Linked DNA regions of Saccharomyces cerevisiae S288C. Changing the gene in region 1 together with any one later gene gives a genetic interaction. Each region holds a gene or a part of one and is shown in the gene's direction. Other genes may lie near its edges.

Evidence for each region.
Region 2: mutations in SPF1 (region 1) and COG6 together harm fitness more than expected from each alone (negative genetic interaction), as found in Saccharomyces cerevisiae (5 studies listed by BioGRID).
Region 3: mutations in SPF1 (region 1) and RVS161 together harm fitness more than expected from each alone (negative genetic interaction), as found in Saccharomyces cerevisiae (5 studies listed by BioGRID, with this or other methods).
Region 4: mutations in SPF1 (region 1) and SEC66 together harm fitness more than expected from each alone (negative genetic interaction), as found in Saccharomyces cerevisiae (5 studies listed by BioGRID).

The regions. Positions count from the first base shown.
Region 1 is NC_001137.3:86,424-94,441, forward strand, and holds SPF1 (ion-transporting P-type ATPase SPF1), read left to right. Parts: upstream 1-3,834; coding exon 3,835-7,482; downstream 7,483-8,018. Other genes in the region: MTC7 (Mtc7p), read left to right, coding at 1-175; MCM DNA helicase complex subunit MCM3, read left to right, coding at 514-3,429. UniProt on the Saccharomyces cerevisiae protein: Endoplasmic reticulum translocase required to remove mitochondrial transmembrane proteins mistargeted to the endoplasmic reticulum.
Region 2 is NC_001146.8:546,610-553,870, reverse strand, and holds COG6 (Golgi transport complex subunit COG6), read left to right. Parts: upstream 1-1,883; coding exon 1,884-4,403; downstream 4,404-7,261. Other genes in the region: YNL040W (putative alanine--tRNA ligase), read right to left, coding at 1-491; YNL040C-A (uncharacterized protein), read left to right, coding at 1,313-1,393; BOP3 (Bop3p), read right to left, coding at 4,581-5,771; YNL042W-B (uncharacterized protein), read right to left, coding at 6,501-6,758. UniProt on the Saccharomyces cerevisiae protein: Acts as a component of the peripheral membrane COG complex that is involved in intra-Golgi protein trafficking.
Region 3 is NC_001135.5:127,887-133,241, reverse strand, and holds RVS161 (amphiphysin-like protein RVS161), read left to right. Parts: upstream 1-1,699; coding exon 1,700-2,497; downstream 2,498-5,355. Other genes in the region: ADY2 (Ady2p), read left to right, coding at 118-969; serine/threonine protein kinase SAT4, read right to left, coding at 2,961-4,772. UniProt on the Saccharomyces cerevisiae protein: Component of a cytoskeletal structure that is required for the formation of endocytic vesicles at the plasma membrane level.
Region 4 is NC_001134.8:576,106-580,527, forward strand, and holds SEC66 (Sec63 complex subunit SEC66), read left to right. Parts: upstream 1-2,258; coding exon 2,259-2,879; downstream 2,880-4,422. Other genes in the region: NPL4 (nuclear protein localization protein 4), read right to left, coding at 239-1,981; SMY2 (Smy2p), read right to left, coding at 3,045-4,422. UniProt on the Saccharomyces cerevisiae protein: Acts as a component of the Sec62/63 complex which is involved in SRP-independent post-translational translocation across the endoplasmic reticulum (ER) and functions together with the Sec61 complex and KAR2 in a channel-forming translocon complex.

The DNA.
Region 1 (8,018 bases):
TTTCATGTGCGCATATCTACCGGCTGCAAGCAGCCGGTCGGTGGCAAATCCGGCGCTTCCCCCTCAAAAAAAAAAAAAAAAAAAAAAAAAGGGAACTCTCAGAACGGGGGAGGTTGAAGAGCAGGCCAAGGGAAATATTAGTTTTGACCTATGTGGGAAACAGAATTTTCAATGAGTTATGGCAACTTGGCCGAGTGGTTAAGGCGAAAGATTAGAAATCTTTTGGGCTTTGCCCGCGCAGGTTCGAGTCCTGCAGTTGTCGTTATTTTTCTCTTTTTTTTCAATTTCCCTTGTTCGTCAGATCGAGGCGGTAGAAGAAACAATTACTTTTCCTAAATGGGTAAAAACTCGTGTTTTAGGAAAAAAAAGAAAAATTTGGTCAAAACTCGAAAGATAGGTTCTTAATCTTCTTTCAAGTTGAAAAGGCCTACGCTCTTTTCCTTGAAGCATTTTCATCCTACTGCTCGTATTGAACTCCACTATAAGCGCACCAAAAAGATACAAACGTCAATTATGGAAGGCTCAACGGGATTTGATGGAGACGCTACTACTTTTTTCGCTCCAGACGCTGTGTTTGGTGACAGAGTGCGCAGATTTCAAGAGTTTTTAGATACTTTCACCTCATACAGAGACTCTGTAAGGTCCATACAAGTTTACAACAGCAATAACGCGGCCAACTACAACGATGATCAAGATGACGCAGACGAACGAGATTTGCTAGGTGATGACGACGGTGATGATCTTGAAAAGGAAAAGAAAGCAGCATCGTCCACCTCATTGAATATACTCCCTCACAGGATTATCATCTCGCTTGATGACTTGAGAGAATTCGACAGGTCGTTCTGGTCGGGCATTTTAGTCGAACCAGCATACTTCATCCCGCCTGCCGAAAAGGCGCTTACTGACCTAGCAGATTCCATGGACGATGTTCCACATCCCAATGCCTCTGCAGTATCGTCTCGCCATCCTTGGAAGCTTTCGTTCAAAGGCTCATTTGGTGCACACGCATTGTCTCCTCGTACTCTAACGGCACAACATTTAAACAAACTGGTCTCTGTTGAGGGTATCGTAACTAAGACTTCGTTGGTCAGGCCAAAGCTTATCAGATCTGTCCACTACGCGGCAAAGACTGGTAGATTCCATTACAGAGATTATACAGATGCTACTACAACTCTCACCACCCGCATCCCAACGCCTGCCATCTATCCAACGGAGGACACTGAAGGTAACAAACTAACCACCGAATATGGGTATAGTACGTTCATAGACCATCAGCGTATCACTGTGCAAGAAATGCCCGAAATGGCCCCCGCTGGCCAACTTCCCAGGTCCATTGACGTCATTCTCGATGACGACCTTGTGGACAAGACCAAGCCAGGTGACAGAGTTAACGTTGTCGGGGTATTCAAGTCGCTTGGTGCTGGTGGCATGAACCAGTCCAACTCTAATACATTGATCGGGTTCAAAACTCTGATCCTAGGTAATACGGTGTATCCTCTCCACGCCAGATCCACGGGTGTCGCTGCGAGACAAATGTTGACAGATTTCGATATAAGAAATATCAATAAACTATCCAAAAAAAAGGACATTTTCGATATCTTGTCTCAATCTTTAGCGCCTTCTATTTATGGACATGACCATATAAAGAAAGCCATTTTATTGATGCTCATGGGAGGTGTGGAGAAAAATTTAGAAAATGGCTCGCATTTAAGAGGTGACATCAATATCCTAATGGTGGGTGATCCATCCACTGCCAAGTCCCAATTGCTAAGGTTTGTGTTGAATACAGCATCACTGGCAATTGCTACTACTGGTAGAGGTTCTTCCGGTGTCGGTTTGACCGCAGCGGTCACTACTGATAGGGAAACAGGTGAAAGAAGACTAGAGGCTGGTGCCATGGTTCTTGCTGACCGCGGGGTTGTATGTATTGATGAATTTGATAAGATGACAGATGTGGATAGAGTCGCCATTCATGAAGTAATGGAACAACAAACGGTGACGATTGCCAAAGCAGGTATTCACACAACATTAAATGCTCGTTGTAGTGTTATTGCTGCCGCAAATCCCGTTTTTGGGCAGTACGATGTCAATAGAGATCCACACCAAAACATTGCCCTACCGGACTCGCTGTTGTCTCGTTTTGATTTACTATTTGTTGTGACAGACGATATCAATGAAATCAGAGATAGATCCATTAGTGAGCATGTCTTAAGAACACACAGATATTTGCCTCCAGGTTATTTAGAGGGTGAACCTGTGAGAGAGCGTTTGAATTTATCATTAGCCGTTGGGGAGGATGCAGATATAAATCCTGAAGAGCATTCCAACTCCGGGGCTGGTGTAGAAAATGAAGGAGAAGATGATGAAGACCATGTCTTCGAAAAGTTCAACCCCTTATTACAAGCAGGTGCTAAGTTAGCAAAAAACAAAGGTAACTATAACGGTACAGAAATTCCAAAGCTAGTCACCATCCCATTCTTAAGAAAGTACGTTCAATATGCCAAGGAAAGGGTTATTCCACAGTTAACACAAGAAGCCATCAATGTTATTGTGAAAAATTATACTGATTTAAGAAACGATGATAATACCAAAAAATCGCCCATTACTGCAAGAACTTTGGAGACTTTGATCAGATTAGCCACAGCTCACGCCAAAGTCAGGTTATCCAAAACAGTCAACAAGGTGGATGCTAAAGTGGCTGCCAATCTACTAAGGTTTGCACTATTGGGTGAGGATATCGGCAATGATATCGATGAAGAGGAAAGTGAATACGAAGAAGCTTTGTCGAAGAGGTCTCCACAGAAATCACCGAAAAAAAGACAAAGAGTCAGACAACCAGCAAGCAACTCTGGATCCCCAATCAAATCTACTCCAAGAAGGTCAACGGCATCTTCCGTTAATGCCACGCCATCGTCAGCACGCAGAATATTACGTTTTCAAGATGACGAACAGAACGCTGGTGAAGACGATAACGATATAATGTCACCGCTTCCTGCGGATGAGGAAGCTGAATTACAAAGAAGGCTTCAACTGGGGTTGAGAGTGTCTCCAAGACGTAGAGAACATCTTCACGCACCTGAGGAAGGTTCGTCGGGACCTCTTACCGAGGTCGGTACTCCAAGATTACCTAACGTATCTTCTGCAGGTCAGGATGATGAGCAACAACAGTCAGTTATTTCTTTTGACAATGTGGAGCCTGGTACCATTTCTACTGGTAGATTGTCTTTAATCTCAGGTATTATTGCGCGTCTGATGCAAACAGAAATATTTGAAGAAGAATCCTATCCTGTGGCCTCTTTGTTCGAAAGAATCAACGAAGAACTACCGGAGGAGGAAAAATTCTCCGCTCAAGAATATTTAGCAGGTTTGAAGATCATGTCGGACAGAAATAACTTAATGGTTGCTGACGATAAAGTTTGGAGAGTCTGATGTCACAGGAATGTTTACTAAAAGACTTCCATTCTTGGCTTTTTTTCTTTTTGTCATTCATAATTTTCAGTTCATTTCCAGATTATTTAGTTCATTAATTGTTATTCGTGTATTAAAGAATTATGTATTAAAACGCTTATTTCCTTCTTTTGTTTGAATGTGTTGTAAGCAGTTATGGGGCACTATATCTTCTGTTAATGAATATGTGTGATACTTTGGCTTATCTTACTTGCTCATTCGTGGCTTCTTGTCACGCCATACGTTACGCGTTTCTCTTCCTCTTCGCGTGTTCTGAATAAAGCCAAGTGGCAATGTCTCTTCCACCATATAACATGAAGCTTTAGCAAGCTTTTAGCTCTAGACATAGTTGACATATCAGACCTACAGAAACATAGGAATCGGTAAATGACAAAGAAATCATTTGTGAGCAGTCCTATTGTTAGGGACTCGACATTGCTGGTACCAAAGTCATTAATAGCAAAGCCGTACGTATTACCGTTTTTCCCGTTATACGCTACCTTTGCCCAACTATATTTCCAGCAATATGATCGTTACATCAAAGGACCTGAGTGGACTTTTGTCTACTTGGGGACATTGGTATCCTTGAACATCCTAGTCATGTTAATGCCTGCTTGGAATGTCAAGATCAAGGCGAAATTCAACTACAGTACTACTAAAAATGTCAATGAAGCTACTCACATTCTCATCTACACCACTCCAAATAATGGTTCTGATGGTATCGTTGAAATTCAGAGAGTAACTGAAGCGGGCTCTTTGCAGACTTTTTTCCAATTTCAAAAGAAAAGATTCTTGTGGCATGAAAATGAGCAGGTATTTTCTTCACCAAAGTTCCTTGTTGATGAATCCCCAAAGATCGGTGATTTCCAAAAATGTAAGGGCCATTCCGGTGACCTAACTCATTTGAAGAGACTATATGGTGAGAATAGTTTTGATATTCCTATTCCAACATTTATGGAATTATTCAAAGAGCACGCTGTTGCGCCATTGTTTGTTTTCCAAGTTTTCTGTGTTGCCTTATGGCTATTGGATGAGTTCTGGTATTATTCTTTGTTTAACTTATTCATGATTATCTCCATGGAGGCAGCTGCAGTATTTCAAAGATTAACTGCCTTGAAGGAATTTAGAACTATGGGTATCAAACCTTATACCATTAACGTGTTTAGAAACAAAAAATGGGTAGCATTGCAAACCAATGAATTGTTACCTATGGATTTAGTGTCTATAACAAGAACCGCCGAGGAGAGCGCAATTCCTTGCGATTTGATCTTGCTCGATGGCTCCGCTATTGTTAATGAAGCAATGCTTTCAGGTGAATCTACTCCCTTGTTAAAGGAATCCATTAAATTACGTCCTAGTGAAGATAATTTACAACTGGACGGTGTTGACAAGATTGCTGTGTTACATGGTGGTACAAAGGCATTACAAGTAACACCTCCTGAACATAAATCGGATATCCCTCCTCCACCTGATGGAGGTGCCTTAGCCATCGTCACCAAAACTGGCTTTGAAACATCTCAGGGTTCTTTAGTTCGAGTTATGATTTACTCCGCTGAACGTGTTTCCGTCGATAATAAGGAAGCGTTGATGTTCATTCTTTTCTTGTTGATTTTCGCTGTTATTGCATCCTGGTACGTTTGGGTTGAGGGTACAAAAATGGGTAGAATTCAATCCAAATTGATCTTGGACTGTATATTAATTATTACATCTGTTGTTCCTCCTGAGTTACCAATGGAATTGACCATGGCTGTCAACAGTTCTCTGGCCGCCCTTGCCAAGTTCTATGTCTATTGTACTGAACCATTTAGAATTCCATTTGCTGGTAGAATTGATGTTTGTTGTTTCGATAAAACTGGTACTTTGACCGGCGAAGATCTTGTGTTTGAAGGTCTAGCTGGTATCTCTGCGGACTCCGAAAACATTCGTCACTTGTACAGCGCTGCCGAAGCACCAGAAAGTACAATTCTTGTCATTGGTGCTGCTCACGCTTTAGTTAAATTGGAAGATGGTGATATTGTTGGTGACCCAATGGAAAAGGCGACCTTAAAGGCTGTTGGTTGGGCTGTCGAAAGAAAAAACAGTAACTATAGAGAGGGCACCGGAAAATTGGATATTATCCGTAGATTTCAATTTTCTTCTGCTTTAAAAAGGTCTGCTTCTATTGCTTCTCACAACGATGCCTTGTTTGCTGCTGTCAAAGGTGCACCTGAAACGATTCGTGAAAGGCTTTCTGACATTCCCAAGAATTATGACGAAATCTATAAATCCTTTACACGCTCTGGTTCAAGAGTTTTGGCTTTGGCTTCTAAGTCGTTGCCAAAAATGTCTCAGTCTAAAATTGATGATCTAAACCGTGATGATGTTGAATCTGAATTAACCTTTAATGGGTTTTTGATTTTCCATTGTCCTCTGAAGGATGACGCTATTGAAACCATTAAAATGTTAAATGAATCCTCCCATCGTTCTATTATGATTACTGGTGATAATCCATTAACTGCTGTTCATGTGGCTAAAGAAGTTGGCATAGTTTTTGGCGAAACTTTAATCTTAGACAGAGCAGGTAAATCTGACGACAATCAGTTGCTGTTCCGTGATGTTGAAGAGACAGTTTCCATCCCATTTGATCCATCAAAAGACACTTTTGATCATTCTAAATTATTTGATAGATATGATATTGCTGTTACTGGATATGCTTTGAATGCCTTGGAAGGGCATTCTCAATTAAGGGATCTATTACGTCACACCTGGGTTTACGCACGTGTTTCACCATCCCAAAAGGAGTTCTTGCTGAATACACTAAAGGATATGGGATATCAAACTTTAATGTGCGGTGATGGTACTAATGATGTTGGTGCTTTGAAACAAGCTCATGTTGGTATTGCATTGTTGAATGGTACCGAAGAAGGTTTGAAAAAATTGGGTGAACAACGCAGATTGGAAGGTATGAAAATGATGTATATAAAGCAAACTGAATTTATGGCTAGATGGAATCAACCACAGCCACCTGTTCCTGAACCGATTGCACACTTATTCCCACCTGGTCCAAAAAATCCTCATTATCTGAAAGCTTTAGAAAGCAAAGGTACCGTCATTACGCCAGAAATCAGAAAAGCAGTTGAAGAAGCAAATTCCAAACCTGTTGAAGTCATCAAACCAAATGGACTATCGGAAAAAAAACCTGCTGACTTAGCTTCTTTGTTGTTGAACTCTGCTGGTGATGCCCAAGGTGATGAAGCACCAGCTCTAAAGTTAGGAGATGCATCTTGCGCTGCCCCTTTTACCTCGAAACTGGCCAATGTTTCTGCTGTTACTAACATTATACGTCAAGGCCGTTGTGCTTTAGTTAACACAATTCAAATGTACAAAATCTTGGCCTTGAATTGTTTAATCAGTGCCTACTCTTTGTCCATCATTTACATGGCTGGTGTCAAATTTGGTGATGGTCAAGCCACTGTCTCCGGTTTGTTACTATCGGTTTGTTTCTTGAGTATTTCCCGTGGTAAACCTTTAGAAAAACTATCCAAGCAAAGGCCACAGTCCGGAATTTTCAATGTTTACATTATGGGATCTATTTTGTCTCAATTTGCCGTTCATATTGCCACTTTAGTTTACATCACTACAGAGATTTATAAATTGGAACCCAGAGAGCCACAAGTTGATCTTGAAAAGGAATTTGCTCCATCATTATTGAATACGGGTATTTTCATCATTCAGTTGGTACAACAAGTCTCTACATTTGCTGTCAATTATCAAGGTGAGCCATTCAGAGAAAACATTAGGAGTAACAAAGGTATGTATTATGGTTTATTGGGTGTGACAGGTTTGGCACTTGCAAGTGCTACTGAATTTTTACCTGAGCTAAACGAAGCCATGAAGTTTGTGCCAATGACTGATGACTTTAAGATTAAGTTGACCCTAACATTATTGCTCGATTTCTTTGGTAGTTGGGGTGTCGAGCATTTTTTCAAGTTTTTCTTCATGGACGACAAACCATCAGACATTTCTGTGCAACAGGTCAAGATTGCCTCTAAATGATAAATCTTTTATGTAGTACCCCTTTTTGTATTTATATACTTATATTACCCATTCATATAGATCTTTTTTAATGGGTGTATTGTTAAGTTTATGAAAGTGCTGTATTATTTGTAAAACAGCTTCTAAGTATACGAAAATTATAATAGCTTCAAGTTTATATTTTGTTGCTAGCGTTACGGTTATGTTTTTACGATACATATCGCCTAAGCAGGTCTCTGCGCCTAAAAAAAGTAAACATATAAATTGGGAAAGCAATATAATTAAACATACTGCTATAGTAAATTCATTACTAGGCCAATTTAACCGTGCCTTATTATGATATGAAATACCAGTCAACAAGTCCCGCTTAAATGCACTCTAGTAAAGCTACAGGTGGTTAACAAAAATTAAGAAAACAGAACAACCACGAGATTCTTTGAACACGGTCTGTCAAAGATCTTGACTTGGACTAGTTACACAATTTATTTTCCAACTGAGTGGTTTAGCACAGGAATAGTTTAATCGGGTCTTAAATTTTTACTTTGATTTTTGCAGGG
Region 2 (7,261 bases), on another chromosome or scaffold:
TAGTCGCTAGGCTCTAGAACAGGTTTTTTCTTTGTGATGATACCACCCATCGACCAAGATACAGTGTCTACTTTGTAGTTGCGTTCCAGAATGGCACTTAACAAGTGTTGACCAGTATGTTGTTGCATATAATCCATTCTCTTTTGCTCGTCCACGGCCACTTCCACTGTTGTTCCGGGCTCAATGTAGTCATTGACATGATGCTTTGCATGTAAACCGAAACGAGAAACGTGTGAAACTAATATCTTCTCAATTTTCGACGAATTACGATTCCCTTCAACAATTTTCAAAAAACCAGAATCACTTGGTTGGCCCCCACCTTCGGGGAACAGAATAGTATCTTGTAGTTCAATCTCATAACCTTCAATCTCTCCCTTTTTATTCTTCGTTGGTTCGCAAGAAACAACCAGTGTTTTGAACCCATCGAAGAGAAATGAGTTCCTCTGGCAGGCTAAAGCGCCGACCTTGACAGGCGTCATAGGTGTGGGCATGATAACTTACCTTTTAATCAATTTTTGACGCTGTTGTGTGCTTTCGTCGATATGCGTCACCAGGATGTCTATTCTTAAGTTTTTTTTACACGATAAGGATAAAAAATAAAAAGATGTTAATGATGGGTGGTTGGTTCTTTTACTAATGAAAAGTGTAAGCATATTTCGTACAAATTGCTTGCAATAAGTCACTTGTACAAAAGTAAACTGATATAAACGTCTTCCTAGTGGGCTGAATTTCAGAATTTACGCGAGTGATACATGAATTTACTGATAATCGATGGTATTCGTTATTTGATAAGGTGGTATTATTGAATATACAGAATGCATTATATGCGCTCATTGAGGATATAATAGTCATGACAGGAAATCAATGTCCTACGTAATAACACTATTATTTCTTCCTTTGCATTGCACGTTGTTATGCATTACTCTGTTACATCATCAGTTCTTGTATTTCGGCTTTTACTAGATTTGAGATTGTATCTCATGGCTTATGTCACTTTCTTACATTGTGTGTGATAGGTATACTAGTAACATGGCCACTAGTCAATAAGCAACGGTCAATTCTTATTCCAGCAGTTCTTAATATGCATGGAATTAGTGAAGAATAGGAGCCGATAACTTTACTTGTGCATTTGTATTAAATTTACGTCCTTCTTATTTATTTCGTCCACGTACGTTACTACCCTTTTTCCAGTAATTTTTCTTTAACTTGAAATGGTCTTGTAACTCCTATTACATTCCGGTGCCATATCAAGAGTAGCCTGGTAATATAGAAAAATTCCAGTAGCTTAACAAGAGCCTATTTTTAATCAAAAATGCCGGAGCAAAAAGCCAACTGTTCACCAAACGGTAACATAACAGTTGATAGTATGATTATGTCGCTAGGATCTTCTTAAAGGATAACACGAATTACGAAACCAATAGAGGGATATTAGAAGGATCAGCTGAAACCTAAAGATCAATAATATAACAGGATTATAAGTGACAACATATAGTATTAAAGAAACAAACCGCTATATGATTGCATGTATTACCACCTCTCTTTTGTTGATACGCATATCCCTGAGGAAAACTCTCAGCACATTCCATATACGAGGGAAAAATTGGATTTCAAAAACTGGTATCTAATCCTACCGATGCGTATGTTAGTCGAAATCTATAAGTAAATTGTTAATGATTGCTTTCTGTTCGTTTATACTTCCATTTTACTTATATATCACCTGCCGTCTCAGACGACAAAATACATACAACTGGCGTAATGACGCTTTCATACAAAATATACATCTAAGGTAGTAATTCATTCTAGTAAATATTCATCCGAAAGCTGTAGTATCTGAAGTATATTGTACATTATCGTAACAAAATCCCCAGTGAAGTTTACTCACAATGGATTTCGTTGTAGACTATCAGACCTACGCAATGGCGGATACTGCCACGCCAGAATTACCAGAACCTGAGCCAAGACTAAACTTAACCTCAGATGCACAGTCACAGCCCACCGGTAAACTAGATCTACAGTTTAAGTTGCCCGACCTTCAACGTTATTCCAATAATAATGCAACTTTGCCAGTAGATAATGATGGTGCTGGTTCGAAAGACCTACATAAGAAAATGACACATTACGCAATGTCTTCCATTGATAAAATACAGCTTTCAAATCCAAGCAAACAATTAGGGCAAAATTCCCAGGATGAAAAACTATCGCAGCAAGAATCTCAAAATTTCACGAATTACGAGCCAAAAAACCTTGATTTATCAAAATTAGTATCCCCGTCAAGTGGTTCCAACAAAAATACCACAAATTTGGTTCTTTCGAATAAACTATCCAAGATATTGAACAATTACACATTGATTAACTATCAGGCCACAGTCCAACTAAGAAAATCCCTAAAGGTTCTAGAAGAGAATAAAGAGAGATTGTCCCTTGATGAACAAAAGCTCATGAATCCTGAATATGTAGGTACTTTGGCAAGAAGAGCATTGAGGACTGATTTGGAATCTCAACTGCTAAAGGAACATATTACGGTACTTGAGGAATTCAAACCTATCATTAGAAGGATTAAACGATTATCTTCTTCCGTCGAAAAAATACAAAGAACGAGCGAAAAATTACTAAGTAATGAGACAAATGAGGTTCCAACAAATAACGTGGTACTTCAGGAAATAGATCAATACCGTTTAAAGGCAGAGCAGTTGAAGCTGAAAAAAAAAATACTGTTATCTATAAGGGATAGGTTTACTTTGAATCAGGTAGAGGACGATGTAATCACCAATGGTACTATAGACAACATCTTTTTCGAGGTAGTAAAGAAAGTAATCAATATTAAAGATGAATCAAGTTTCTTGCTGACGCTTCCTAATTTGAATGCTGGAAATGCTTTGATAATGGGAGTTAATGAAATTTTAGAAAAGACAAACAAAAAAATCTTCAATTATTTGATCGATTTTTTATATAGTTTTGAATCCTCTTCAAATTTATTAAATGACCATGGTACTACTGAACAAGAAAGCTTAAACATTTTTCGGAAGAGTCTGGTCTTCCTGTCAAGTGATCTAGAATTATTTAATGAGTTGTTGAAAAGAGTGACCACACTGAGATCCAAGAGTATTCTGGATGAGTTTTTGTCTCAATTCGATATGAATTCAACTACCTCTAAACCCATCATATTATCGGCACACGATCCAATTAGGTATATTGGTGACGTACTAGCGTCCGTTCATTCCATCATCGCAAATGAAGCTGATTTCGTGAAGTCACTATTTGACTTTCAGGATGAAGACTTAAAAGATACCCCAATTTCTATACTTCAACAAAACAAGACATTCTTGAAAGGCATCGACAACAAATTGCTGAACGATATCATCCAGTCGCTATCCAATTCGTGTCGTATTCGTATCGAGCAAATCGTGAGGTTTGAAGAAAATCCGATCATCAATTTCGAGATTGTGAGGCTGCTGAAACTTTACAGAGTTATGTTCGAGAGAAAGGGAATTCAGGACGATAGTTCTATTATTAACAATTTAAAGTCGTTGGAAGACATTTCCAAAAACAGAATTATTGGATACTATGAAGACTATATGAAGCAAACAGTCATGGCGGAAACAAAAAATTCTTCAGATGATTTACTGCCACCAGAGTGGCTATCAGAGTATATGAATAAATTGGTAGAGTTATTTGAAATTTATGAAAAGACACATGCTGCCGAAGATGAGGAATCAGAAGATAATAAATTGCTCTCATCTAAGAATTTACAAACAATTGTAGAACAACCAATAAAAGATGTTCTGTTAAAACAATTGCAAACATCTTTTCCTTTGGCGAAAAAAAATGAAAAAGAAAAGGCATCATTGCTAACTATAGAGATAAACTGTTTCGATTTAATTAAATCTAGACTTCAACCTTTTGAGGGATTGTTTGCACAAGATGATGACAGCCGGAAAATCACCATCTGGGTTTGTGATAAACTGAAGGAATATACTAAGCAAATGCTAACTTTACAAATAAAATTCCTATTTGAGAATACAGGTTTAGACCTTTACAGCAATTTGGTCAATATGATTTTTCCTGTGGACTCAGTAAAGGATGAATTGGATTATGATATGTACTTAGCCCTGAGGGATAATTCATTGATGGAATTAGACATGGTCAGAAAAAATGTGCATGATAAGTTGAACTATTATCTACCTCAGGCGTTAACAGATGTTCAAGGTAATTTACTATTTAAATTAACGTCACCAATGATAGCTGATGAAATATGCGATGAATGTTTCAAGAAGTTGTCGCTATTTTATAATATCTTCAGGAAACTGTTGATTCATTTGTATCCGAACAAGAAGGATCAGGTATTCGAAATTTTAAATTTTTCCACTGATGAATTTGACATGTTGATAGGTATTGATCACTGAGAGATGAACAACTTCTGTTTAAAATCGTCTCACAAAGACGCATCTTGCCCATAATGTAGCGATGCTCTATATCTCAAATATTTGTTACCTTTTTTATGTTGGTATGCGGCGGGTATCTATATAATATATGGGTGTATACATACGTAGGGGGAACATCAAAAAGAAAATAATGATCACTCAAGTACTATTTAAAATCTTGCCTACAGAATTATCCTTTGTGATGGTTCTTACGGGGCTTTCGTTTCTACTACTGCTTTCACTGCATGTTCTGTCATCCAAGTCATCGTGTACTTGACGTCCTTCACGAACCGATTGCAGCATATTTGGTTGTTCCTTCATATTGGATTCAATTGGTTTGTCATGTGAGGTAAGTGCTACGGACACGTTAGAATGTATAGGGGATGGTGATCTCTGTACTTGTTTTTCTTTTGCTTCATCGATAATACTTAAATCGATCACTCCAAAGGAGGATGTGGATCTTGCACGCCTATGCTTTTTTTGAACCATTCCAGGTTTCCTTGGTATAGTATGTAAATTGTGCGTGTGGAGATCCTGTTGCTGTTGTGGAGGAGGAGGCAGTGGTTGAGATAGCGGCTGCTGTTGGTCTCTATTGAAACTTAGTATGGATGTCATTGTAGAAGGAATATTAGGATTGGTGAACTTTCCTATTGGAAGTGACAAGTTACGGCTGTGAAGAGAAGTCGGCTTCTTGTTTAAAGGCGATTCTTGAGATTTTGTACCAGAGGGAATTCGCCTAGCCACATCTTCCTCCTTAATGGAAATATTGTCATTCAACGCAGCAACTGCGGATGCACCTATTCTTGCAGGAGAATTAGCTCTTCGTTGTACATTTGTAACTGTGGAGTGTGATATACCGCCGGTAGAGGATGATGCTGGAAACTTATATGGAGAGGGCTGTCGACTCATTGGAGTTGGTGACACTGTGTTCATATTTAGAGGTTTTAATGACTTCATAGAACCATTCAATCTGGGCAGATTTTCTGAAGATTGCGTGCCTTCTGTATTGTTATGTGGTTGATTGCCCCCTGCCTTCATCGGCGAAGACGCCGGTACGCCATGGTCGGTGTTGAATAGTTTATGTATTTGATTTATGGGCAGACCTGAACTGGAAGCAAGCTTAAACAACTCTATCGAACGATTCAAGTTTTCAAGTTTATAATATTGCTGCTTAGTCTTTTCTTGTTCTATTTTCAAATCCATAGCTTTCATTAAAGCATTCTCAGAAAAAGCCCATTCCGATACATTAGTACCAAATATTATATCTAACAGCGATTTGCTCTTGTTGACATTATTATGACTATTATCATTGCTTTCCTTTGGCTGGCTGTAACTGTTGAAAGTACTCATTGGTCGCCTGTGCTCACAGATGGTTGCAAGTTTTCCATGTAATGTAATTTGCTACTTATTTTCCTACTGCACGCGCAAGTTTTCTCGTTGACTGTTATTAAGAAACAAATGAACAAACAACAACTGCACTAGAAGAGCAACAAGACTAGTTTCCGCTTTCCTTCTCTTTTTCTTTTTTAAAAAAGCCAATACTGCATTTGCAGCTTACTGAAGAGGCCAAAAGAAACAAGGCTTGATGATAGTCAGTAATCTTCCTCTGGACCTCTTCGCCGAGTTCTTCGAGAAGTTCCCAATAAGGTAATCGAAACGAGAGAAAAAAAGACGAGCAAAAAATTTTCTCAATTTGCCTACTTTTAAGGGTTCGGAGAGGAAGGTTTATTTGTAAATCATGACATTATTGGGCGAAGCGTAAGTGGCTTTGAAGAAGAGGAATAGCTACTCGACCAAAACTTGAAGATACTATCATACCCAACTTGGAGCGCTCAGTGACTAGTCTGCCTTTAGTGCTGTCCTGCCTCCCGTCATGCCAAGAGCCGTACTCTCCCCTTAAGGGCTGCTATTTTTTTCCGGTAGGTGTTCGGAATCCCCTTTCGAGAAAAGTAATTAATCCGAGAATTCCTTATATTTCTTACCAGAAATAGTAAGCGAAAAGGACGTTGAACTATAGCAGATCAGCGCGTCTTCATAATCCCAGAAGGAGGCGGGAAGAACAACCCCCCCCATATAGTTTTACTGGTCTCCTTTCAATCTGTTTGTTCTGAACCTACTTTCATTCTTTTGGCAGATATATGTTGCAACACGTACATAGAGTGAGTTTACTTCTTTCAGCTTGGAGAAGCATGAGAGGTTAGGTTGATTGATGCTAAACAAAAAAATTCCGCCCTGATGGTGAAAAAAGATAACGGGGCGAGCTGGGAATTGAACCCAGGGCCTCTCGCATGCTTTGTCTTCCTGTTTAGGCAGGAAGTCGCCCAAAGCGAGAATCATACCACTAGACCACACGCCCGATTATTTCGTGTGGTTGTTGTATTACGGGCTCGAGTAATACCGGAGTGTCTTGACAATCCTAATATAAACAGTCTTAGGGAAGTAACCAGTTGTCAAAACGGTTTATCAGATTAATTCACGGAATGTTACTTATCTTATATATTATATAAAATATGAATCATACTAAGTGGTGGAAGCGCGGAATCTCGGATCTAAACTAATTGTTCAGGCATTTATACTTTGGGTAGTTCAGCTAGGGAAGGTCGGGTTTTGTCTCATGTTGTTCGTTTTGTTATAAGGTTGTTTCATATGTGTTTTATGAACGTTCAGGGTGACGTATTGTCATACTGACATATCTCATTTTGAGATACAACAGTGGTTGTGTCATGAAGTTAGTCAATACTAGCCGTCTTAACAATATTAATACCTGTCAGAAGAGCAGCTTGATTGACGGAATGTTACTTATCCCATATAATCTATATAGGATCTAAATCTGACTAAAG
Region 3 (5,355 bases), on another chromosome or scaffold:
GCAATAACAATACAACAGAAACTACTAGCATCTGTTTATAAGAAAAAGGCAAATAGTCGACAGCTAACACAGATATAACTAAACAACCACAAAACAACTCATATACAAACAAATAATATGTCTGACAAGGAACAAACGAGCGGAAACACAGATTTGGAGAATGCACCAGCAGGATACTATAGTTCCCATGATAACGACGTTAATGGCGTTGCAGAAGATGAACGTCCATCTCATGATTCGTTGGGCAAGATTTACACTGGAGGTGATAACAATGAATATATCTATATTGGGCGTCAAAAGTTTTTGAAGAGCGACTTATACCAAGCCTTTGGTGGTACCTTGAATCCAGGGTTAGCTCCTGCTCCAGTGCACAAATTTGCTAATCCTGCGCCCTTAGGTCTTTCAGCCTTCGCGTTGACGACATTTGTGCTGTCCATGTTCAATGCGAGAGCGCAAGGGATCACTGTTCCTAATGTTGTCGTCGGTTGTGCTATGTTTTATGGTGGTTTGGTGCAATTGATTGCTGGTATTTGGGAGATAGCTTTGGAAAATACTTTTGGTGGTACCGCATTATGTTCTTACGGTGGGTTTTGGTTGAGTTTCGCTGCAATTTACATTCCTTGGTTTGGTATCTTGGAAGCTTACGAAGACAATGAATCTGATTTGAATAATGCTTTAGGATTTTATTTGTTGGGGTGGGCCATCTTTACGTTTGGTTTAACCGTTTGTACCATGAAATCCACTGTTATGTTCTTTTTGTTGTTCTTCTTACTAGCATTAACTTTCCTACTGTTGTCTATTGGTCACTTTGCTAATAGACTTGGTGTCACAAGAGCTGGTGGTGTCCTGGGAGTTGTTGTTGCTTTCATTGCTTGGTACAACGCATATGCAGGTGTTGCTACAAAGCAGAATTCATATGTACTGGCTCGTCCATTCCCATTACCATCTACTGAAAGGGTAATCTTTTAAGAGCACGACCTACTAATAACGAGAACTATTGAAATAAAAAAGAGTAGTTTTTTATTTTTCAATTTTTTAATATGATAATTATTTTATGACTTATATAACCACACCAACTAATCGTACTTTTATATGTTTAAATAGAATGGCTGTTTCAGTCGTACACTATTAATAACATTATGTTACTTCGCAATTAAATGTTTTTCAAAGCTAAAACTTCAAAACAAGATATAAACAATGTACAAAAATGATTACGAAAATATAGATGATGTAAGCAAGGTACGGTTATAAACAGTTAACATATAAGTTTACTTCACTTTTTTGCTGACTCCTTTACTTGTCTTCCCTGCACTTTGATTTTACTTCAGAAAAAATAAGATATATGTTTCTGATAAAACTTTTAGGTTAGCGGAGAAGATGTTGCCACGAATATCATGTAATTGAAAGGCAACGAAAGGTCTATCGTTTGCCATTCATAATGTGATTCGACTTGTCTTTTTCATTGTAACAGACATGAAACGTTTCCTTTACGTCCCTATGAATTTTTGTTGGCTGAACTGGGCGCTGCAGGGGCTGGACGATCCAAATGCGCGGATTTTGAACAATTATGAGAATCCGAATTAAAAGAAAGGGAAAACAAATTTAATAACAGGCAGACGTGAGAGAAGAAAAGGAAACGCTGTGATATAGAAAACTATACAAATCCTATTATAAGAAGCCAGAAGAAAGCTGATACAAGATGAGTTGGGAAGGTTTTAAGAAAGCTATCAACAGAGCTGGTCACAGTGTGATAATTAAGAATGTCGACAAGACCATTGATAAAGAGTATGACATGGAAGAACGTCGTTATAAAGTTCTTCAAAGAGCAGGTGAGGCATTACAAAAGGAAGCCAAAGGTTTCTTGGACTCATTGAGAGCTGTGACAGCATCACAGACTACCATTGCCGAGGTCATCTCTAACCTCTATGACGATTCAAAATATGTTGCTGGTGGTGGTTACAACGTTGGTAACTATTATTTGCAATGTGTTCAAGATTTTGATAGCGAAACTGTTAAGCAATTAGACGGGCCCTTAAGAGAAACCGTACTAGATCCAATAACAAAGTTTTCGACGTATTTCAAAGAAATTGAGGAGGCCATAAAAAAGAGAGACCATAAGAAACAAGACTTCGATGCTGCGAAGGCAAAAGTTCGTAGATTAGTGGACAAACCTGCTAAAGATGCCTCTAAACTGCCAAGGGCTGAAAAAGAATTGAGCTTAGCTAAAGATATTTTCGAAAATCTTAATAACCAATTGAAAACTGAACTACCACAGTTAGTTTCATTAAGAGTACCTTACTTTGACCCAAGTTTTGAAGCTTTAATCAAGATTCAGCTAAGGTTCTGTACTGATGGTTACACTCGTTTAGCGCAGATTCAACAATATTTGGACCAACAATCAAGAGACGACTATGCCAATGGGTTATTAGACACTAAAATCGAAGAACTATTAGGACAAATGACAAGCCTAGATATTTGTGCGCTCGGGATAAAATAAATTAATGCTTTTGCCTTTAGTTTTTTACGGTCATTTATGTTTCTTTCATTTAAATTAACAGACCTAAATAGCACTATAATTTACTATCTGCTCTATCTGACCAACCGACTCTTTTTAAGAAAGCAATTAAAAAGCGATAATAACCGCGGGCATGTGTTTTTGTTAACATGAACACAATAAACGTAAGAATGTCTAGCAATAAATTCAAAATTATTATCTTTTTTTTTTTTATTGTTATGTACTATTTTTTTTTTTAAATAAGGTTACAATTCTTTTTTAATTAATGGGATTTACCAATTTGAACGTGATCCGTAATCAGCCAAACGGGATATAAAAGTAGAACAATAGAAGCGAGGAATAAGATACGAATGCCGGATAACAAAGCATTCCTTAGTGTACTAGATTAAGTAAAAAATACCGAATTGTTCCAAAATATCGTGATATTTGAAAGTGAAGTACTCGTTTATTTCAATGCGCGCCCATTATGGCAGCATTTTATCTCCCTTCCCCATTCACTGTTCAAAATTTGTTTCCCGTTAATTCTTCTGTACGGAACGGGATCTAACATCGAATATATAACATTCCTACACCTGGCTCTTTTTAAACTTTCGATTGGCTCATAGCCTCCCTTTTCCTTACGTCCTTTTAAATAATTCATATAAAATGGATCGTCTTTTTCAGCAGAACTCCACAATTGTCTACCAGTTCTCATTGCCATATAAATGACACCACATGCCCATATATCTACGGGTCTTGGATCAAACTCTTCTTTGATATATTCCTCTGGGGCGATGTACGGCGATGAACCGCAAACGCCTCCACTAAGGTGAATATTTTTTTCCCATGCCATCTTGAAACATTCGCTGTTACCAAAGTCTGTAATTTTTAGCACACCATCGTGCGTAAGCAGTAAGTTCTCAGGCTTCAAATCTCTATGACAAACACCCATTTCATGCATATAAACAACACCTCTAATAAGCTGCTTGAAGAAACAATCTGCTTCCATATATTCTAATTTTCCGGCGGCAACGACCAAAGTGAATAGATCGCCACCTGCACAATATTCCATTACTTCACAGTACTCGCCTTTGGCATCTTGGAAAAGATCTAGTGTAGTAACAATATTTGTATGGTGTAATGAAGAAGAAATGCAAAATTCAGAAGTCAACCTCTTAGAATACTTTTCTGCTGATTCGGATGTTCTACGCTTGAACTCTTTCACTGCATAAAGCTTTTCACTTTTATTACCATCTTGAGAAGAAACATTTTTCTTTTGACATATTCTTACTACACCAAAAGCACCTTTACCAAGGACTTCTTGACAGCGACCATACTTTTCGGCAAAACATTGCCTATCTTTTTTAGTAGTAGTGATATTATGCGTATTATTTTTGGAATCTTTTTGATCTGACCTGTATATATCCCTTTCAGGACAATTTAAAGCGCCACTTGTGGGAGCGCCTTCTGGATATTTATCATCCATATCCACGACCTGCTTCATGAAGCCTGCAAAAAGAGTAGGAGGATTCTTGTTGGATTTTAAAGTCGTCTTTGGATCCATTATTATATCAGGGACAGCAGATTTTGCCTCACCACGTAATTTGCTCGCACCAACCATGTTTTTAATCATTGTGCTTAGCTTTTCTTGTCTCTTAGCATTTTTTAAGTGATGTTCATGGGTACCATCTTTATGCACAAGAAACCTCCCACAAATAGGTGCACTTGTATTGGTTATCTTATTTACATTATTAATATTTGAAGCAGTGGGAGTAGGCGCGGGTGTAATAGCAGTATTGCTGTTACTATGATGAGAGAACTTTGGGCTCAAACTTTTGGAGCTAATATTTATGGCTGATGTGGGTGATAAGGATAAAGCTGATACTGACGAAGTTAAAGAAGCAGCTGATGATGACTTAGAGGTGTTAATATCAATATGGTTGTTTAATGATGCGGATGAACTAGAGTGCGATGGTGATGCCGACTGGTAATATTCGGGCATATACATGCCCGGTTTACTCACACCTGCAGTATTAGAAGGATTAGAAACTACCCTAGGAGTAGCAGTGGTTGGGGTATGTAAACCAAATTTGGCTGATTTAGACGCCGATGGAACGTTTGTGTTTATATTAGAAGGTGGCTGGATATTCGATGAGGCCTTTCCCTGCCTAGATGATCTTGAACCGCTTCTAAAAAGTTGCATAACTTTAGAAGATAGCGCATGTTTCCTTGGAGTTTGCTGAGGAATAGCGGCATTATTATCATTCATACCAGTCATATATTTGAGGGGTAATGTCGAAATAAAATAAAATCTGATTACTTTTTTTTTGATTACAGGGAATAGTAGTCACAATACTTACTACTAGTTAATATCTAGCGGTAAATGGAGAGTAAAAAAAGGTTGAGAGCCTAATATTAGAAAGCTACCTTAAGCTTTCCAGTTTTTATTTGTAACTTAAAAACGCTTAAAGGCTTAGTACAACTTATTGAACAGGACTTTGAAAGTCCAAATTTTATTCGATAATGTTAAAGTGAATAACAACAACCCAGCAATAACAACAACAACAACAACACAACAGGTTATAACGAAACCGACAGGAAATCGTCAAAAAAAAAAAATGATAAAAAATTCTTAAAATCGAAACTCCAAGTAAAGGTCTATATTAGGGTTTAATAAACTTTTGCTAAAAAAAATTGCCGAATATCTCTATAAAGTAGTATATTTTCTTCTCCGTTTCCTCTTCCCTCTTTAAAAGCTGTAATATTATATATACTATTTGTATAGCGGAAAATGCGTGAGATGGCAAGAGCTCGGCCTGTTAACATATTAGCACGGGGAGGCCGATGTTGATTTGATGAAA
Region 4 (4,422 bases), on another chromosome or scaffold:
AAACGGCAAAGTCCTTTGGTTTATATCAAGAGTACCTTAATATATACCAATTTGTAAAAGCGACTCCCAGTTATTGTTCCTTAAAACTCCTCGTATGATGTGATTTTTGGTAAGGGGACGTTCTAGAAACGTCTACTATTTTGGATGATTTACATAGTTTTAAAATAAAAAAGGCTCAATTTTACCTTCCGCGCATTTCTATTTTTTTAATCTAAAACCTCAAATCTTACAGTCTCTCCTAGCCGCTTTCCTGAAGGATCATGACTAACGTTTGCCAACCAGCCGATGAGACAAGTTTTAGTAGAGATTCTTCCCATTCATTTTTCACAGCAGATTCTATTAGTAACTTCCATTCGTCTGGAGAGAGTATCTGCAGAGAATTTATGTATAATAGTAAATGAAAGTTCGAGATTTTTTCATGCAAAAGATTGAAATCTCCACTTGAAGCCACATTGAATAAATACTTTTTTAATTCTTGATAATCTTGAGATTGCCCCATAGCTTGTCGATTGCTCCATGGAAATCCGGTGGAACTAACGAATTTCGAGTTGGTTTCCGTATCGGTATTCGGGAACCCATGAGTCAGCGTCACTAAAAGATAGTCTACCGGAAATGCAGGCTTCGCATTTTCCTTCACTGTTATACCATATTCATTCGACTTCATGTAAAATATCTCAGGTACATATCTTTCATCTGTAGTGTCATTAATATATGCCATTGAAGGAAATGTGGACCCACTTATCATATCTGCAGTAACCAATGCTTCAGCTTCTGTGGATACTTGGTAGCTCGAAATATCAATTTCACCTTCCAAATTACCTGATATAACGCAAGTTACAAACTTGGAAGAAAAAAAACCTTGTTCGCTATACTTGCTTACATTAGGATGCCTTGTTTGATGCCTAGCAGCCATAATAACTTCTAATGATGAAAGAAAAAACGAATCCTTATGTCTTTTGCAAAAAACAGACCCATCCCCAGCTCCCGCGTCAGATAAATCTGTAAATATTAGGCCAATTCGCGAAAGCCCCATTTCTTGAGCCTGTCTATCAATCTGTAGCATTTCATTCTTGACCTGTTCTACGTCCATGGTTAAACCGTCTTGCTCATCATGCTGAGGGGGCTCGTATATCGCCTCAACGACGGCCTTTATACCTAAAGGTGTGTTATCATACTTAGAATAAGATCCGTACATATAGCCAAATCTTTGCATACCCGTGTACCTCCACGCCTGAATAAATTCATTAATTATTTCACTCTTCTGAAATTCAACGTGGTCAACCATTCTAAATTCTTGCTGTTGTAATGTAATTGCCGATGGTTGACATTTAGAACATATCCCCCGAGGCCATGGTTCATGGCCATTATGGCAACGCTTATTGATTCTAAAATCAGGTTCTGAAAGAGGGGAAATATAAGAGCTGCCGTTCTCCTTCTTATTAGCATTTTCATTTAGCTTTTTAAGATATGAATGAAACGATATATGTTTGATCTTATTCTTCTCATGATATTCTTTGTCCCAAGGAGGTAAAGGCGAGCAGTATTCACACATACCTCTATCACCGTGCTTGCATAGTTTTGATTTTTGACGAGGAATTAATCCGTCCTCTTTCTCTAGTTCCTCATCTACAGCGAGTTCTTTGATCCTTAGTGGACCGTACCTGTGTTGACGAATTCCCTTGCTGTCAATACCTACGGATCCGATTTCAACATTGACACCATCTTTCTCATTAGCGGGCTTGTCCGAATAGTTAAGGATCAGCATGTCACCGTGCTTTAGTCCTAGATCCATCACTGTTCGATCAGCTAGTTCAGAAACAGCATGAATACCTTGACCGGGCTTCTCACAAACAGTAAATGTGTCGACATCGGCATTGGGGTCCAGATTACCCACCAACTTTTCAATGACCGTTCCGAAAAGGTCGTTTTCTTGACAAGAAACCCTGTGTGTACCGTTTTTTGATCTAAATCTGATAAGCATACTTCACTTAAATGTATATCGATATCAGTAGTATAGGGAAATTTTTCTTCAGAGTACTGTCCTATTATTTGCCACTCTTCGTTCTGTATGTTACGAGGGCGTTCCTTAAAATGGGTAGACGCATCTTATTACCCGCCAAAAAACGTCAAAAGTTTTAGGAACACGTCTAAAAGTTGAAATAATATGTGAAAAAATTGATGAAATATTAATGAAATGGCTTATTTAAACGAATTCAAGTACAGGAAAGAGGTACGCACAACTACTTGAGTTTGCCAATATGTCCGAATTTAATGAAACAAAATTCTCCAACAACGGGACGTTTTTTGAAACGGAAGAGCCAATTGTGGAGACGAAATCAATCTCCGTTTATACCCCACTCATATATGTCTTTATTCTGGTGGTGTCCCTTGTGATGTTTGCTTCAAGCTACAGAAAGAAGCAGGCCAAAAAAATTAGTGAGCAACCATCCATATTTGACGAAAACGATGCCCATGATCTGTATTTCCAAATAAAGGAAATGAGTGAAAATGAAAAAATTCACGAGAAGGTGTTGAAGGCCGCTTTATTGAACAGAGGAGCAGAATCTGTTAGACGATCATTAAAGTTAAAAGAGTTGGCTCCTCAGATAAACCTTCTATATAAAAATGGCTCTATTGGGGAGGATTACTGGAAGAGATTTGAAACTGAAGTTAAATTAATTGAATTGGAATTTAAAGATACTTTACAAGAAGCTGAAAGATTGCAACCGGGCTGGGTTCAATTGTTCGTTATGGTTTGTAAAGAAATTTGCTTTAATCAAGCTCTCTCTAGACGTTATCAATCAATCTTGAAACGGAAAGAAGTGTGTATTAAAGAGTGGGAGCTGAAAATAAATAATGATGGAAGATTAGTCAATTAGTGCCTACTGTGTGCAAAGATATGTATTCGCTCGTTCAGTGTTTTTTTAAAAATATGTATAGAATTTGTCATTATCTGCGTTAAAAAATAGTTATAAAGTATATACAATAACAATAAATGATAAAGAAATATGCAGTGAAAAGAAAAAATTATGAAGCTTTTCCTTTCAGTGTTTTCTACCCTTCTTCTTGCTCACTACTTGGAATTCCCAGCCGTCGTCATCATTGCCTGATAGAGCTAGCGCTTCATTCCAACTTAGTGGATCATCACCTTGTTTTTCGCACGCAACACGTCTTTTAATAAATTCAGTGGCAAATCTTCTACCATCCATAACGTCACTATTGGCATAAATTGTTTCTTGAATCAATTCTTTAGATTCTGGCCCCGTAGGTAAACTCAATAATAGTTCTAAGACATTGTTATTGGTTATTCCAGAATTTAATTTCATCTGTGATTTACACCATTTGATAAATTCTTGCCGGGGAGAAACATTGTTCATGCTAGCAAAGGTAGTGGTAGTAGAAGTTGTGCTAGTTTTTGCCGTTAATGAAGAATTTAAACTGGTATTGGTTTTTGAATATGGGGAGACAACGGTTCCTATAGGTGCTTTCCCTTTAGAAGTCACCGTAGTCCAAGAAGATGTGGTAGTAGATGCAGAGGATGTGGACTTTACTTGTTTGGAAGAACTCTGAACCTTTTCCCATAGTTTTTTCTGCTCTTCTATGAAATTTGGATCTTCCAACTCCTTTAACGGAGACGACTCTTTCATCCCTTTTGGGCTTTTTTGAAACTGAGATTTAATATCAATAGTTTGATTCGATGGTAGGCTGGACTTGTTAGCCCAGTTAAGCACGGATTTTAGTTCCTCCTTTTGCTTTTCTTCTTTGCTGTTCCTCTGTTGTAGACCTAAGGGTTCTCCTTTCTTCTTTCCAGTGCTACTTACACCATTTTTAATTGAAGTTTCGATTGCATTGTTAACTTTGACTTTTGAGGCCCATGGTGCCGGATTCGCGCTTGAGGAATTTAATGAAGGCAAATCTTTTGATGTCTTAAAGCCTTCTGTTTGTGTTTGTGTGTCCTTTTTTGTCTTTTCTGATTTTTTTTGCTTTTCTGCTTCCAAAGCTTCTTTTTCCTTTTGTTCCTTTTGTTCCTTTTGTTTCTTCAATAAATCATCCTCTTTTTGCTTTTGTTTCTTCGATAAGCGAGCTTCTTCCTTCCTTTTGAGTTCTCTGTTCCGTTTCTCTTGTTCATCCAATAACGCTTTTGCTACAGATTCGGATTTTTCCTTCTTCCCTTTTTCCAGCATAGTGGTCGATTTGTATTCTTGCTTGTGAGATTCATCTGTTTGACTAATGGTGGTTGCTGAGGCTAATTTAATATCGACTCCCTTGGAGGTGGTACCTCCATCCATATCCCAGATATTGTCATGTGTCAATGGCTTGAAAATATCGTTTTCAGTAGCTTTAATAGTGCCAGTAGCGGCAACACCGCTTGCGTAAGGAGCTAGATTCAAGTTGATAGAATCAGAGCTGGTTGTTTGAACG